Arabidopsis thaliana: one gene and its partner. The main gene of each other region encodes a partner of the protein of the gene in region 2 in a complex. Each region holds a gene or a part of one and is shown on either strand. Other genes may lie near its edges. A codon is read from its position in the direction of its gene.

The links. Proteins that work in one complex are often made in the same cells at the same time.
Region 1: the proteins of AXR3 (region 2) and MP are in contact, whole or in part, in a crystal structure (PDB 6L5K), measured with the Arabidopsis thaliana proteins. Residues at the interface, in NP_171921.1 of Arabidopsis thaliana: Phe112 (codon at 3,387), Lys114 (codon at 3,393), Gly119 (codon at 3,408), Ala120 (codon at 3,411), Pro121 (codon at 3,414), Tyr122 (codon at 3,417), Leu123 (codon at 3,420), Arg124 (codon at 3,423), Lys125 (codon at 3,426), Phe148 (codon at 3,495), Arg205 (codon at 4,121); in NP_173414.1 of Arabidopsis thaliana: Lys842 (codon at 6,311), Val844 (codon at 6,317), Asp847 (codon at 6,326), Glu849 (codon at 6,332), Asp851 (codon at 6,338), Val852 (codon at 6,341), Leu853 (codon at 6,344), Leu854 (codon at 6,347), Asp857 (codon at 6,356), Asp858 (codon at 6,359), Pro859 (codon at 6,362), Val878 (codon at 6,515), Met881 (codon at 6,524), Ser882 (codon at 6,527), Glu883 (codon at 6,530).

The regions. Positions count from the first base shown.
Region 1 is NC_003070.9:6,884,591-6,892,561, forward strand, and holds MP (Transcriptional factor B3 family protein / auxin-responsive factor AUX/IAA-like protein), read left to right. Parts: upstream 1-2,078; 5' UTR 2,079-2,762; coding exon 2,763-2,895; intron 2,896-3,045; coding exon 3,046-3,161; intron 3,162-3,269; coding exon 3,270-3,368; intron 3,369-3,458; coding exon 3,459-3,515; intron 3,516-3,603; coding exon 3,604-3,759; intron 3,760-3,838; coding exon 3,839-3,923; intron 3,924-3,999; coding exon 4,000-4,090; intron 4,091-4,186; coding exon 4,187-4,351; intron 4,352-4,433; coding exon 4,434-4,556; intron 4,557-4,641; coding exon 4,642-4,853; intron 4,854-4,932; coding exon 4,933-6,086; intron 6,087-6,178; coding exon 6,179-6,369; intron 6,370-6,465; coding exon 6,466-6,592; 3' UTR 6,593-6,814; downstream 6,815-7,971. Other genes in the region: AT1G19860 (Zinc finger C-x8-C-x5-C-x3-H type family protein), read right to left, coding at 7,064-7,928. UniProt on the Arabidopsis thaliana protein: Auxin response factors (ARFs) are transcriptional factors that bind specifically to the DNA sequence 5'-TGTCTC-3' found in the auxin-responsive promoter elements (AuxREs). Seems to act as transcriptional activator.
Region 2 is NC_003070.9:1,133,642-1,139,437, forward strand, and holds AXR3 (AUX/IAA transcriptional regulator family protein), read left to right. Parts: upstream 1-2,436; 5' UTR 2,437-2,740; coding exon 2,741-2,979; intron 2,980-3,292; coding exon 3,293-3,504; intron 3,505-3,818; coding exon 3,819-3,957; intron 3,958-4,098; coding exon 4,099-4,160; intron 4,161-4,661; coding exon 4,662-4,699; 3' UTR 4,700-5,022; downstream 5,023-5,796. UniProt on the Arabidopsis thaliana protein: Aux/IAA proteins are short-lived transcriptional factors that function as repressors of early auxin response genes at low auxin concentrations.

The DNA.
Region 1 (7,971 bases), 5.8 Mb from region 2:
ACTGTGAAGCGCAGAAACGGCGCCGTGTCGGTCCAAAAATCATTTTCAAAATAACATTAAAATACACGTGTCGAGTATGCTAATGTACGCCTCCTCTTCCTCTCTTACTCAACCATTGATTTGCCGTCCACTTCACGCGTGCCTAGCGGTCAAAATTTTCAGACGCAAAAGCACCAAATAATGCTTTTCACTTTCTTTTTTTCTTTCTTCATTTCTTATTCTTGTTTTTTTACAAGTTTCCAATCTACATAAGACAAACTAACGTTTAGGAAGGATTCGGATTGATAATCTGCATACACTTGATTTTGATTGGTATCCTTTTCTTTGCATGTGGTTAAAATTTGGTATGGTAAGAGTTTTTATTTTTATGAATTTAGGATTATTGAAGGCATTGTCACAAATGATATACAGTAGAGAAAAAAAAAAACGATACAAGAGAAAACAATTGATAAGAATGATAAAATTATATCTAGTAAACCTCATCGTGGGATGTTATTCCTCGTTATACGTAATGACTATTTGTTCCAAAGATTTTGCTGATGGCACACAATCTTGGCACCGGAAATGAGAGTTTTTCCATTATCATCAAAAGCATGTTTCACTCCTTGCTAAATTTGAACTGTATATTAAAATGTGCTGCCAACAGCAAATTCCACACATTATATACTTGATTGGAGATCCTTTGATTCAAATATATCTTAGTGACAAACGCGTATCCGAATAAGTAGTTATGTTTATATAGATATTCTATCATAATGATGCTACTATATATCCACTTATAAATTATAATATGTTTGATTATTTTTCTCTAATATGTGATAATGTGGATTGTGTACTAATCCTATATATAACTTAACTATGCTCATTTGTATTTTGTTTATGAGTAATATTACATGAAGGAAAGCGATTTTTATTTACGTATGATTGATAAGTAATGATATGGAAAGTGATATGGTTTCATATCATACAATATAATACAATGACCGCATGTCAATTATTTCGTCGCAAGAAAACAATGGAAAGGTCAAACTAGAGATGTGTGCGTAAAAAAAAAAAATGTATGTAACTAAAAAGGTCTAAAGATGTAATGGTACACACTATACACAATTAGACATAATTACACATGTGGTTTAGAGTATTAGATATTAATAATGAGCAGAACAAGCTATGTTTACAGGTGCAGAGAACCAAGATATTCCTTTCTTTTGGTTGTTGTAGATACAAATATATTTTACAAAGCTCAATTTCAATACAAATGCAAGAACCACAAACAACAGTCCTTTCAATTTATTTGGAGGTGGTCTTAACTCTTAAGTATATATAAACAATACCACCTTATAACTTTTAAGTTTTAACTAAACCATACTTAAATCTTTTTTAATCTCTATACCAAATCTTGCAAATATCAAAATAACTTTTTCTAACCAAAGAAAGAAAACATTTTTGAAGTCCTTAACTTGGAAAGGAAAAGAACACCCGGGCAAAAAAGATTGGAAGATACACTTCCTCCCGTAACCTCTTTAGGCTTCGTGCTAATATACGCTATTTTGACATTCTCTCCTATCATACGCACCTTGTATTAGAGATCTCCCAAAGTCTCACCACTCACATCCCTTTTACGAAATCTCAGCAAGAAAAGATTAACATTTTGAGAAAAGTATATATTATTGCAACGAAAAAAGAAGCCTCCTCCTTTGTCATAAAGTTCTTAATCAATTTTAATTTATTGCCATAATCAAAAAACATTTTATATTTTACAAAGTTCTTGAAAAAGTAGGACACTTTTTAAAATAATATTCACTCATGGTACTTATTTTAAGCTTTATTATCTGCCTTATAACATAAGCATTGAAAGTACTTGTACATTCAACTACGTTTCTGTGCGTATCAGAGATTACGTGTGCTTACTCTACTTTATTAAATTTTTGACGTAAACTGTTCTAAAACATTAAATAATAATATAGATGTATCTATTGAAATACCAAAACTTTATTTTATAATTAATGGGAAACAATAAAATATAATATTATTCGTTTAAAGAGTCTAAAGCTGCAACGGCATCGCCATATACAGAAAGTTTTAAGCGCAGGATAAGAGCATGCACACTCTTTCCCATTTCCAAGCAAAATAAAACCTATACATACACATTTATACTAATACTCATATACATTAGAGAGAGAAGAAGAAAAAATGTGGGATTTTTCAGAGAAATAATTAAAAGAAAGCAAAAGTTTTTTTTTTCTTAAAAGCTTTTGTCTCTCTCTCAATTGCTTCTTGTTCTTGTTTGCATCCGGAACCAAAGAAAGAAACTGTGTGGTTTCATGATGGCACCTTTGGTTTCTCTTCTTCATTGAAGGGTCGAATTTGGTCTGAGAAAAGAAGAGTGGAGAGAGAGAAAGAGAAGAGGCAAGAGCCCCACAAGAGAGACATGCTTGTCTGTGTAGTCCCTATTTTGTATGTTCTTTAATCTCTCCCACTCTGTTTTTGTCATGTGTAAGGGTTTTGTCCTTCGATTTTGGAGTCTTCTTTAACCAAAAAAAAACAGATTCCATGAAATGGCTTTGTCTTTAATTCCTCTGGTTTGTCCTGGATTTATCTTCTTGTAGCCTCTTTGCTCAATAGAGCTCTTTTTGTCTCTTCTTGTATTAAATAAAATAAAATGAAGACTTAGTAAAGAAAAAGAAAAACTCTTGAGTCTTGCTAAAGCCTAGTTAGTGTTGAGTGTGGGAGAGACAAAACAGAACATTGAAAAATCTCTCTGTATGATGGCTTCATTGTCTTGTGTTGAAGACAAGATGAAAACAAGTTGTTTGGTTAATGGTGGAGGAACTATAACAACAACAACATCTCAATCTACCTTGCTTGAAGAGATGAAGCTGTTGAAAGACCAGTCAGGTTTTCATCTTCTTCTTTCTCAAGATTTTTATTAAAAAAGTTACCTTTTTAAGAATAAACTGTGATAACAAAAGGTTTCATAATTTATGCTAATGACATTTAGAAATTTTGTTACTTTCCCCTAAAAATGCGATTTTGAACATTTTTCAGGTACAAGAAAGCCGGTAATAAACTCGGAGCTATGGCACGCTTGTGCAGGCCCTTTGGTGTGTCTCCCTCAAGTTGGGAGCTTAGTGTATTACTTCTCACAAGGTCATAGCGAGCAGGTAACTTTGTGTGTCTTAAAGAACAAACAAACACATTGTACTTCTCTAGATCTTGTTAGCTCCTGTTCAAAAGGTTTGATTTTTTTTGTTCACTTTTTGACTTATTAGGTTGCTGTTTCAACCAGAAGATCAGCAACAACACAAGTTCCTAATTATCCGAACCTTCCATCTCAGTTGATGTGTCAAGTCCATAATGTTACTCTTCATGTACGCCAATCTTTCTCATTTGCTTCGTATCCAAACAAATTGCAACCAAGTTTGATATTTCTTGACAATGGTTTTGTTCCCCTTTGATAGGCTGACAAAGACAGTGACGAAATCTATGCTCAGATGAGTCTTCAACCTGTTCACTCTGTAAGTTTTGGATTCTTGCAACTTCCTTTTGTTTCATTTAAGAACTCATGTTGAAGTTGAATGAGTTTGAATGGTTTGTGTGCATCAGGAGAGAGATGTGTTCCCTGTACCAGACTTTGGAATGCTGAGAGGAAGTAAGCACCCGACTGAGTTTTTCTGCAAAACACTTACTGCAAGTGACACAAGCACACATGGAGGTTTCTCAGTGCCACGTAGAGCTGCAGAGAAGCTATTTCCACCATTGGTGAGCTTCTCTTTTCCTCATATGTTCCTATTGCTTTAACTGCTGCTAGCCTGCTAATGTTATGTTAAATACATTGCAGGACTACTCAGCACAGCCGCCAACGCAAGAGCTTGTAGTTCGAGATCTTCATGAGAATACTTGGACATTTCGCCATATCTACCGAGGTATAACCACTAGATTTGTCTCTTTCTCTGTTTAGATTGAGTTGGTATTGAGCTCAGTTCCTGCTTACATTCTCAGGGCAACCAAAGAGACATCTCCTAACTACAGGATGGAGTTTGTTCGTTGGATCGAAGAGATTGAGAGCTGGGGATTCTGTTTTGTTCATCAGGTGAAAAACCTTGGCTATTGAGATATTTTGGCTCTGACTCATTTTGGTGTTGCTTATCTTCTGACTGTCATTTGTCCTTTGAAAATGTGCCAAAAGGGATGAGAAGTCACAACTTATGGTCGGTGTTAGGCGTGCCAATCGCCAACAAACAGCACTTCCTTCATCAGTTCTCTCAGCGGATAGTATGCACATCGGTGTTCTTGCTGCTGCTGCTCACGCAACCGCCAACCGTACTCCTTTTTTGATATTCTATAATCCAAGGTTAGCTCAAAAGCTTCTTCAATCCTCAATGATATAAAACTATTTTCTTAGTTGTAACGTAACTTATGGTGTTTGTTCTCAGAGCTTGTCCAGCAGAGTTCGTGATCCCTCTAGCTAAGTACCGTAAGGCGATATGCGGGTCTCAGCTCTCAGTTGGTATGAGATTTGGAATGATGTTTGAAACTGAAGATTCCGGGAAACGAAGGTAAGTTATCCGTAAACTGCAATCTTTCTGTTTTTGTTTATCAAATTTGGTTGTTCACTTATACACGTTTTGGTTGTGTATTTAGGTACATGGGAACTATTGTTGGAATCAGCGATTTGGATCCGTTGAGATGGCCTGGTTCTAAGTGGCGTAACCTTCAGGTAGAATGGGATGAGCCTGGATGTAATGATAAACCTACTCGGGTCAGTCCATGGGATATCGAAACACCTGAAAGTCTCTTCATTTTTCCTTCTCTGACCTCAGGACTCAAACGTCAGCTCCATCCATCTTACTTTGGTGAGTAAAATATAAGTGTGCCTTGTTGTGAACTTTACATGAGATTTGCTGCCTTAAAGTTTTGTTATGAAATATGCAGCTGGTGAAACTGAATGGGGTAGCTTGATAAAACGGCCACTTATACGTGTTCCTGATTCCGCGAATGGGATTATGCCATATGCATCTTTCCCTAGTATGGCTTCGGAGCAGCTTATGAAAATGATGATGAGGCCTCACAACAACCAAAATGTACCATCTTTCATGTCTGAGATGCAGCAGAATATTGTAATGGGGAATGGAGGTTTGCTAGGAGATATGAAGATGCAGCAACCCCTGATGATGAACCAGAAATCTGAGATGGTGCAGCCACAAAACAAGCTAACAGTGAACCCATCTGCTTCTAATACGAGTGGCCAAGAACAGAATCTTTCACAGAGTATGAGTGCTCCTGCTAAACCTGAGAACTCTACACTCTCTGGTTGCAGCTCTGGTAGAGTCCAACATGGACTTGAGCAGTCAATGGAACAGGCAAGCCAGGTTACTACATCCACAGTGTGTAATGAGGAAAAGGTTAATCAGCTACTTCAGAAACCGGGTGCTTCGTCGCCTGTACAAGCTGATCAATGTCTTGACATTACTCATCAGATTTACCAACCACAGTCTGATCCAATAAATGGATTCTCTTTCCTGGAAACTGATGAGCTGACATCACAAGTCTCTTCCTTCCAGTCTCTTGCCGGATCATACAAGCAACCATTCATTCTATCCTCCCAGGATTCTTCAGCTGTTGTGTTACCGGATTCCACAAACTCACCGCTGTTTCATGATGTGTGGGACACTCAGTTGAACGGTCTCAAGTTTGACCAGTTCAGTCCCTTGATGCAGCAGGACCTTTATGCTAGTCAGAATATCTGTATGAGTAATAGCACAACCAGTAACATTCTAGATCCTCCACTCTCAAACACAGTCCTTGATGACTTCTGTGCCATCAAAGACACTGATTTCCAGAACCACCCTTCTGGTTGTTTGGTTGGAAACAACAACACTAGCTTTGCTCAAGATGTCCAGTCGCAGATCACATCAGCTAGCTTTGCAGACTCACAGGCCTTCTCTCGCCAAGATTTTCCAGATAATTCTGGAGGCACTGGTACATCTTCAAGCAATGTTGATTTTGATGATTGTAGTCTGCGGCAAAATAGTAAAGGCTCATCATGGCAGAAAATTGCGACACCCCGCGTCCGAACCTACACTAAGGTAAAAAGATTATCTCTCATTCATTCCACAAATTTCTTGTGTCACAATCTGACATGAAACTTTGGGGTTTGGGTAATGTTTTGACTTGGCAGGTTCAAAAAACCGGGTCAGTCGGGAGATCAATTGATGTCACAAGCTTTAAAGACTACGAGGAGCTAAAATCTGCTATCGAATGCATGTTTGGATTGGAAGGACTACTAACTCACCCACAAAGCTCGGGTTGGAAGCTTGTATATGTTGATTATGAGAGTGATGTTCTGCTTGTAGGAGATGATCCATGGGAGTAAGTCTCTCTCTCACTGTTCTGTGAATCCATTAACTTCATCTGACTATCAGTCTTACAATAGTTTTCCTTACATAACTACATAAACTGGTGCAGAGAGTTTGTGGGATGCGTAAGGTGCATAAGGATATTGTCGCCAACTGAGGTCCAGCAGATGAGTGAAGAAGGGATGAAGCTTTTGAACAGCGCAGGCATTAACGATCTTAAGACTTCTGTTTCATAAATGTAACAATATAAAAATGATCTCATGCTGATTTGTAAGAAAAAAAAGAGAGTAAGAAATGTTCTTTTCTCCAACTGGTAGAGGAGAAACCATCTTGTTGTAAGCATTTGATGTGTTGTTCCGATTTGAGACCTGAAACTATATTCATATTATGTAGTAGAGTGATGAATGAATCAGTAGTTGAGACAGTCTTAGAAATCTTGTGATTATTTTACTCTTTTTTCTGCACAATGTTAAAGATAAAAGTGTAGAAAATCATCTTAAAAACACTAGGGATAGTATAAGTACTACTGTGATGGTGAGCCAAATAATACTCGCTAATTAATTCTACATTTGTGGCATAAAACCAAGAAATAATTTCAAATGTATATAAAACTTATATTGCAGTAAAGCCAGGCAAGAGAAAATAGAAAAATTGCTCTGCTGCTAACAGCAAGAGGCAGAGAGCATGTGTGGTATGCTAATTCTGCATCAGTCTCTGTCAAATCTCATTCTTTTTGCATTCTGCATATCAGAAGTGTTGATATTACCATTGTTTAGATTCCTCGGCTGGTAGGGTGTAGCATCGTGCTGGTACATACAATTAGCTCCATGGCGACAACCCCTTGCGCTGTTGAAGTACATGCAAGCCTTCATTATCTTGGGTTTTGAATCCCTTGGCCTCTGGTTATTATTACTGCTATTTACCATCTCCGGGTTAGGTCCTCCTCCAGGTTGGAGGTTGTATCGATAACCGAGATGTTGAACTGGCGGCGTCTCTTGTCTATCCCCGCCATGTTGCTGAATCAGGTTCTTGTAATAACTAGCATCTCTTGCTGGCGGTGCTCCATAGTTCGGTTGGTCTTGAGGAGCGTGAGGAGTATACGCCATGGGAGGAATATGAGTTATGGGTGGCTGAGCGTAAAATTGTCCATTTGAGGAAATAGGTGCCGTGGTTACTACTCCGTTGGCTTCATGTGTTGAAGATGAGTAGAGGCTACTTGTGTTGGAGGAGACTGAACCTGCACTGCCACGATTTGCAACAAGATTCTCGACCAACTTAGGGTTGCTTAGGATTTTAATAAGCAGATCTTGGTCGATCATACTGCCTTGTTCTTTGCTGTTTGAGATTGCAGATAACGCAGCCATTATATCTGGCCCTGCAGGGAGGGTTGAAGAAGTTGATGTGTTCTCATCGGTTATTGATGGCTCTGTTCCCACATCCACGCCAGATTGGGTTGGGAAATCAGATGCTGAATCCATCGCTATGTCATCATCTTCTACAGGTAGGATGGGTATGACAATGGTTTGCTGATCATCATGATGTGAGTCCTCAACATCAGCTGGAACCGAAGGGCTGCAGATTGGAGTTTAAGAAAAGGCCCAAGTCAAAAAAAAAA
Region 2 (5,796 bases):
TCTTTAAATTCTAGCCAATTGATCGTTTTAACCCATATACATATATAAGACTGTAGAGCAAGTGTTGACGTAAAGTAATTTGTTTGAGTCTCAAAAGAGTTGTTGCTTTCACATACAATCACATTTTACATTTTAGTCAATGTAAACTTATTATTTGGTTGTGGATCGTTTCAATTGCATGCATGCAGCAATGCATGTCATTTGGCTGCATTCCTTAAATGCGAGAAGTATATTCCAACAACTAATGTAAATGAGAAAACTATAAAAAAAAAATTGAAGATGGACACAAATGAACCAGTACTATTGATTTATTTTTCTGTGTGGTAGAATGTTGAGAGTTGTGGCCTTGTATTGTCCACATGAAAGTACACCTGGTCCTCACACGTTCTTATCTTGCAAGTTCATAATTAACACACATATATACCTTTGAAAATAACTCATTAATTTCGACACCATGCATATAAAATACATGATTAGACCTATATATAATTTTCCCAAAAAATGAAAAATATATATAATCAAGTGAAAAAGCATTACCAAAATTACACATCAAATTAAGATGGTCTCTATCGTGTGACAAAGAAAATGTGGTCTCCATATGTATCCTTGAGAATACTGATGATATATGGATTTGGTTGCATTGGTTCAATCTCATTAAAGTTTCGCATACAATCCATTTATGTGTGCGGGCGCATTTTTTTGTAATCATGTAGGCTGGACCGAGAATTTATATTATTCACTGGTTTACAATTTCATGTGAATTCCATAGTGATCAGTAGATATATATATTGATCAGACAAAGTAGATACACATTGATAAAACACGACAAAATGATGTGATATATAAGACAAAGTGACCCAAAATTCGATTGAAAAATTTGGGGTACGTTGATTTGAAAACTCATGAGAGTTTTTTGGGATAGAAACAAAAGGAGAGAAAAGGGTTAAAGAGGAGGATGTAGACAAGGCAAGGAACAAAAGTAGGGTTTAAGATGTTTTCGCCCCTGAATTTTATTTGATGTAACTTGTCCCTTTATCATCTCCATGTTTTTCTTCTTCTCATTAATTTAAATTTTGGCTTTGGAATTTATGGTGATGTTAATTGTACCCTCTCTTCCTTTGGATTTTGATGCCACTCATGTCCCCTCTCATAGATTTTATTAGGGTAGGAATATGCCTTTTTCCCTCTTTATTTTCATATTTATTGAATTTACGTTGGTTAATTATGGTTAGTACGCTTGGTGTTATTTAAACGTCCCGTATTCACAGTTTACGCCTAACTGATTACTTTGAACTAAAACCAGTGTCTAGTAGATCACTAAAGTCGAATTTTGAACGAAAGTTTGAAAATTCGCAAAAGCGCCGTGAAAATACAATTCCAAAACATATCATTTTTGTTTTTGGAAGCGTGATTGATGAAATAAAAACAAAATATGTTTTGGAAGTGCGACAGAATTTGTTTTTTTGTTTAGAAATGCGATAATATAGACAAATTAATAGAAAATGTAATACAAATTTAGGTGCTTTCATAACTACAAAAAAAAAAAAAAACTACCCTATTGTTGAAAACTTTCATACTACAAGAATAACACAAGCAATATAAAAGAAGAAAAATAATTTTCAATAATCAAAAACAGACATTATATTTTAGTAGTCAATTTAATCTGTAAATATCTGTAAAGAAAATTAATCACCAATTTTATTGTTAACTACAAAGTGGTGTTTATAATATTGCAATTTATAGTTTGTTAACTACAAAGTATAAACATTAAAGAGTAATGATGCGTTTTTATGTGTCTAGATACACATTTCGCTGTACGTGTTTATAGGTGAGTTTTTAATCAATAAATATTGAAGATGTACCGTATGCTTTATTTTGTATTGGCATGAGAATAATTATATACAAGAGGGCTGCGCTTTTATTGTGGGATGAATAATTGAATCATGTGGATGTGATATGCATAATTGGAAGGTTCCGGCGAAGAATCTTACGGGGAAAAATAATCAAAATCATGAATATATATTCATTAGTTAATAATTATATTTAGAAGTCAAAAAGCATAATATAGTTATATTAATAATAATGTACATCTCTATTGTAACACTCTCATATGAGATGTCTGCGACCTCGCCACTCAAAAGAATATATATTTATAAACTATACGTTGATATAGTTTTTAAGACCATATGGTATATACATATATTTAGTTAGATACCCCATATCAATTAATCGGTTCATCACCACTTAATTCACTTGGTTGCTTCGAATGTGTTTCATAATTCACTTGTAATTTTAAAATCTTTCCTTCACTTGTGCTTTCGCTTGTAATCTCAAAATGTTATATATCTCTTTTAACGGGAGAAAAACGATTAAAGACGGATTAAAATATATATCCATTTTGTATAGTCAAATGCAATAATATATACATAATCTACAAGATAAATCATAAGAAAGATTCAATAACAGTAATAGAGTAATAACAGTGATTACTGATTAGTCTAAAAGACTAAAACTCGAGGATGATGACTTAATCAAAGGGCTTAGATTCATCCACGTGTCTAAAACCCGTTTAATCAAAGATCTCTTAAATACGACATACACATGCAGCTACCTCCTAGACAGAGATATAATACAGACTCATCTCACTTTGTATTATTTGAGTGTTTTTATAAAACCATTTTTCCATCTTCCTCATCACCTTCCCAAGAAGAAGAACACCAAAGAAGAAGAAAGGTTAATAATGATGGGCAGTGTCGAGCTGAATCTGAGGGAGACTGAGCTGTGTCTTGGTCTTCCCGGTGGAGATACAGTGGCTCCGGTAACCGGAAACAAGAGAGGGTTCTCAGAGACGGTTGATCTGAAGCTAAATCTGAATAATGAGCCTGCAAACAAGGAAGGATCTACGACTCATGACGTCGTGACTTTTGATTCCAAGGAGAAGAGTGCTTGTCCTAAAGATCCAGCCAAACCTCCGGCCAAGTAATTTTACTATTTTGTCCTTTATGATTTATTTTCCACTCTTCTCTACTGCTCTTAATATTAACATTTTTGTAAAGGTGACTGCAAAAAAAAACAGAAATTTCATTAAAGATATATATTTTTCTTCGCCAAAACCATTTTATCATATGTCTACGGTTTTTTTCTCTTCTTAAATCGTCCAATGTCTTAATATATTTAATTATGTTTAACCCATAGTCTCATGCAAGTAAAATTTATGTGACATCACGTCAAAGCTAACTACAGTCTATATCTTGTATAACATAACCGTTTTTCCGTTTTAAAAAAAATATAGGGCACAAGTTGTGGGATGGCCACCGGTGAGATCATACCGGAAGAACGTGATGGTTTCCTGCCAAAAATCAAGCGGTGGCCCGGAGGCGGCGGCGTTCGTGAAGGTATCAATGGACGGAGCACCGTACTTGAGGAAAATCGATTTGAGGATGTATAAAAGCTACGATGAGCTTTCTAATGCTTTGTCCAACATGTTCAGCTCTTTTACCATGGGTACGTTTTATAAGTATATTCCTTATATATATATGTAGATCCTTCCATGCACATTTAGTTACTAATTAATTGTTACTATAGAAAGAAAAATTAATCATCATGATGATAGATCAGTCCCAAATGAATTACCGTTATCGAGTATACAAATATTTCATAATTGAGTAACCCGTTAGTAGTAGTTTAGAAACTGTGAAAAGAAAACTATGTGATAAAATCCAATTGCGAAAAATGTATATTTCATTTGTTGCACCATAAAAGAAAACCACCAAGTTTAAATTCAGGATATCAAGTTCTTATACCTAAGATTATTTTAGGCAAACATGGAGGAGAAGAAGGAATGATAGACTTCATGAATGAGAGGAAATTGATGGATTTGGTGAATAGCTGGGACTATGTTCCCTCTTATGAAGACAAAGACGGTGATTGGATGCTCGTCGGCGACGTTCCTTGGCCGTACGTCTTCTTCTTCTCCCTTATTAATTACCATTTAATTAGAGCTTTATTGTTTCGGTTAAAATTCGAGCTTTATTTTTGTTTATGTCATTTATTTGTTTCTAATAAATAACCATTTGTTTTAATCTTTTTATTTATTAGAATGTTCGTCGATACATGCAAGCGTTTACGTCTCATGAAAGGATCGGATGCCATTGGTCTCGGTATGTATTTTCTACCAATGCATATTATATTCACATTGATTAAATTTTGATTTCAGTTTGTTACCCATTTAAATTAAAATTTACGTGTATATGTATACAATATAGTTAAAATAGCTTACAAAAGAGATTTGCCCCAAAAAGAAAAAAAAAACTTACAAAAGAGCTTAAAAGTTTACTATAATGTACACCTCAACCGCATAACTTGGTCGCCTAAATAATTTAATATGCTATCGTTTAAGATGATGTCTAATCATCAAACGCTTAAACCGTTCATTATTTTTCGCACAATTATATTTCTACCGTAAAGAACAAATTTGTCGAAAGAAAACTTATCGCTTTGATCTTTTAAATCATTGATATAATACATGATATTTGATTCTCTTTTGTCAAATGCAAAAAAAGAAAGAGATTAAATAACAGAGGGAATAAAAAATATACTCTTTTAACAGAATAAATACCGTGGTCAAATGTCTTTGCTTATTAATTGTAAAAATATTTCAGCTCCGAGGGCGATGGAGAAGTGCAAGAGCAGAGCTTGAAGTCAAATTAAAAGGATAAGTGGTATCGATTATATATTTGATTAACACATTGATTGGTGTTAATTGCTCTTTTTTTTCTTACGATGAAATACATTGTTCAGTTTCTTTTGATTGTCTGTGTTTTGATCTGGATTTGGTATGTAGATATAGTTTGTATGCTATTATGTGTAATGAACTTAAGTTAAATATTTGAGACATTTGTAATGGAAAATGTGTAATAATTTGAACATCCTATTCCTATGTATATGTTTGTCTTTATTTATTTATTTTGCCAAAGATGTGTATATTCGTATAAGGAATATGTGATTTTTATTCCACTATGGAAAATTTAATCTCACATTACTTCTCTTTAATTTCAGTCTCTTAATAGTCAGTTATTTTCTAAAGGCAGAACAGTATTCTTTTGGTTCGTCTTGAAAGTGAAACTAAAGATCATAGCGATCGAGTATTTGACCCTAAAGTAAACTTTCCCCAAGTATAATTTCGAAGTCGGTATAATTAGAATTACAATATTACAATATACATATGTTATATCAGATGAATATAATTACAAAAATGGGGAAAATTCACTTTGTTGGTATATTGATTTGTTGGTACTTAAAGTGATAATTGGCTTTGGTTGGAGGAAATAAAATAGAGAAATAGGACCCATAGGGAAGAGAGGGAGCAATGCCATGTGCATATTCATGGGTCTCTTCATTTCATTACCTTTGTTTATCATTTAATTTCCCATTAAATTAATTAGGAATATTAACTTTTATACCAACTAAATTTATTAACAAGGTTATCATAATTATACACAAATATCCTCTCTATAATGAAAAATGAAAAACCACTAGAAATATGGAATTACGTTGTATCCTTTATCACTTTCAGAAATGAGCTACAAGTAATTTATTATTGTCAAGAGATTGCACATGTGTAAAACTTGAAGGTAAAAGACATATATATGCAATAAAATATAGATATATATATATATATATATCGATGACATAATAGATATAGTATAATAACATATAGGGCCCTTTTGGATTAATGGTGTTTACTGGTTATAATGGAGCTATTCTAAGCAGTCCTTATTTAATTTGATGTTTAAC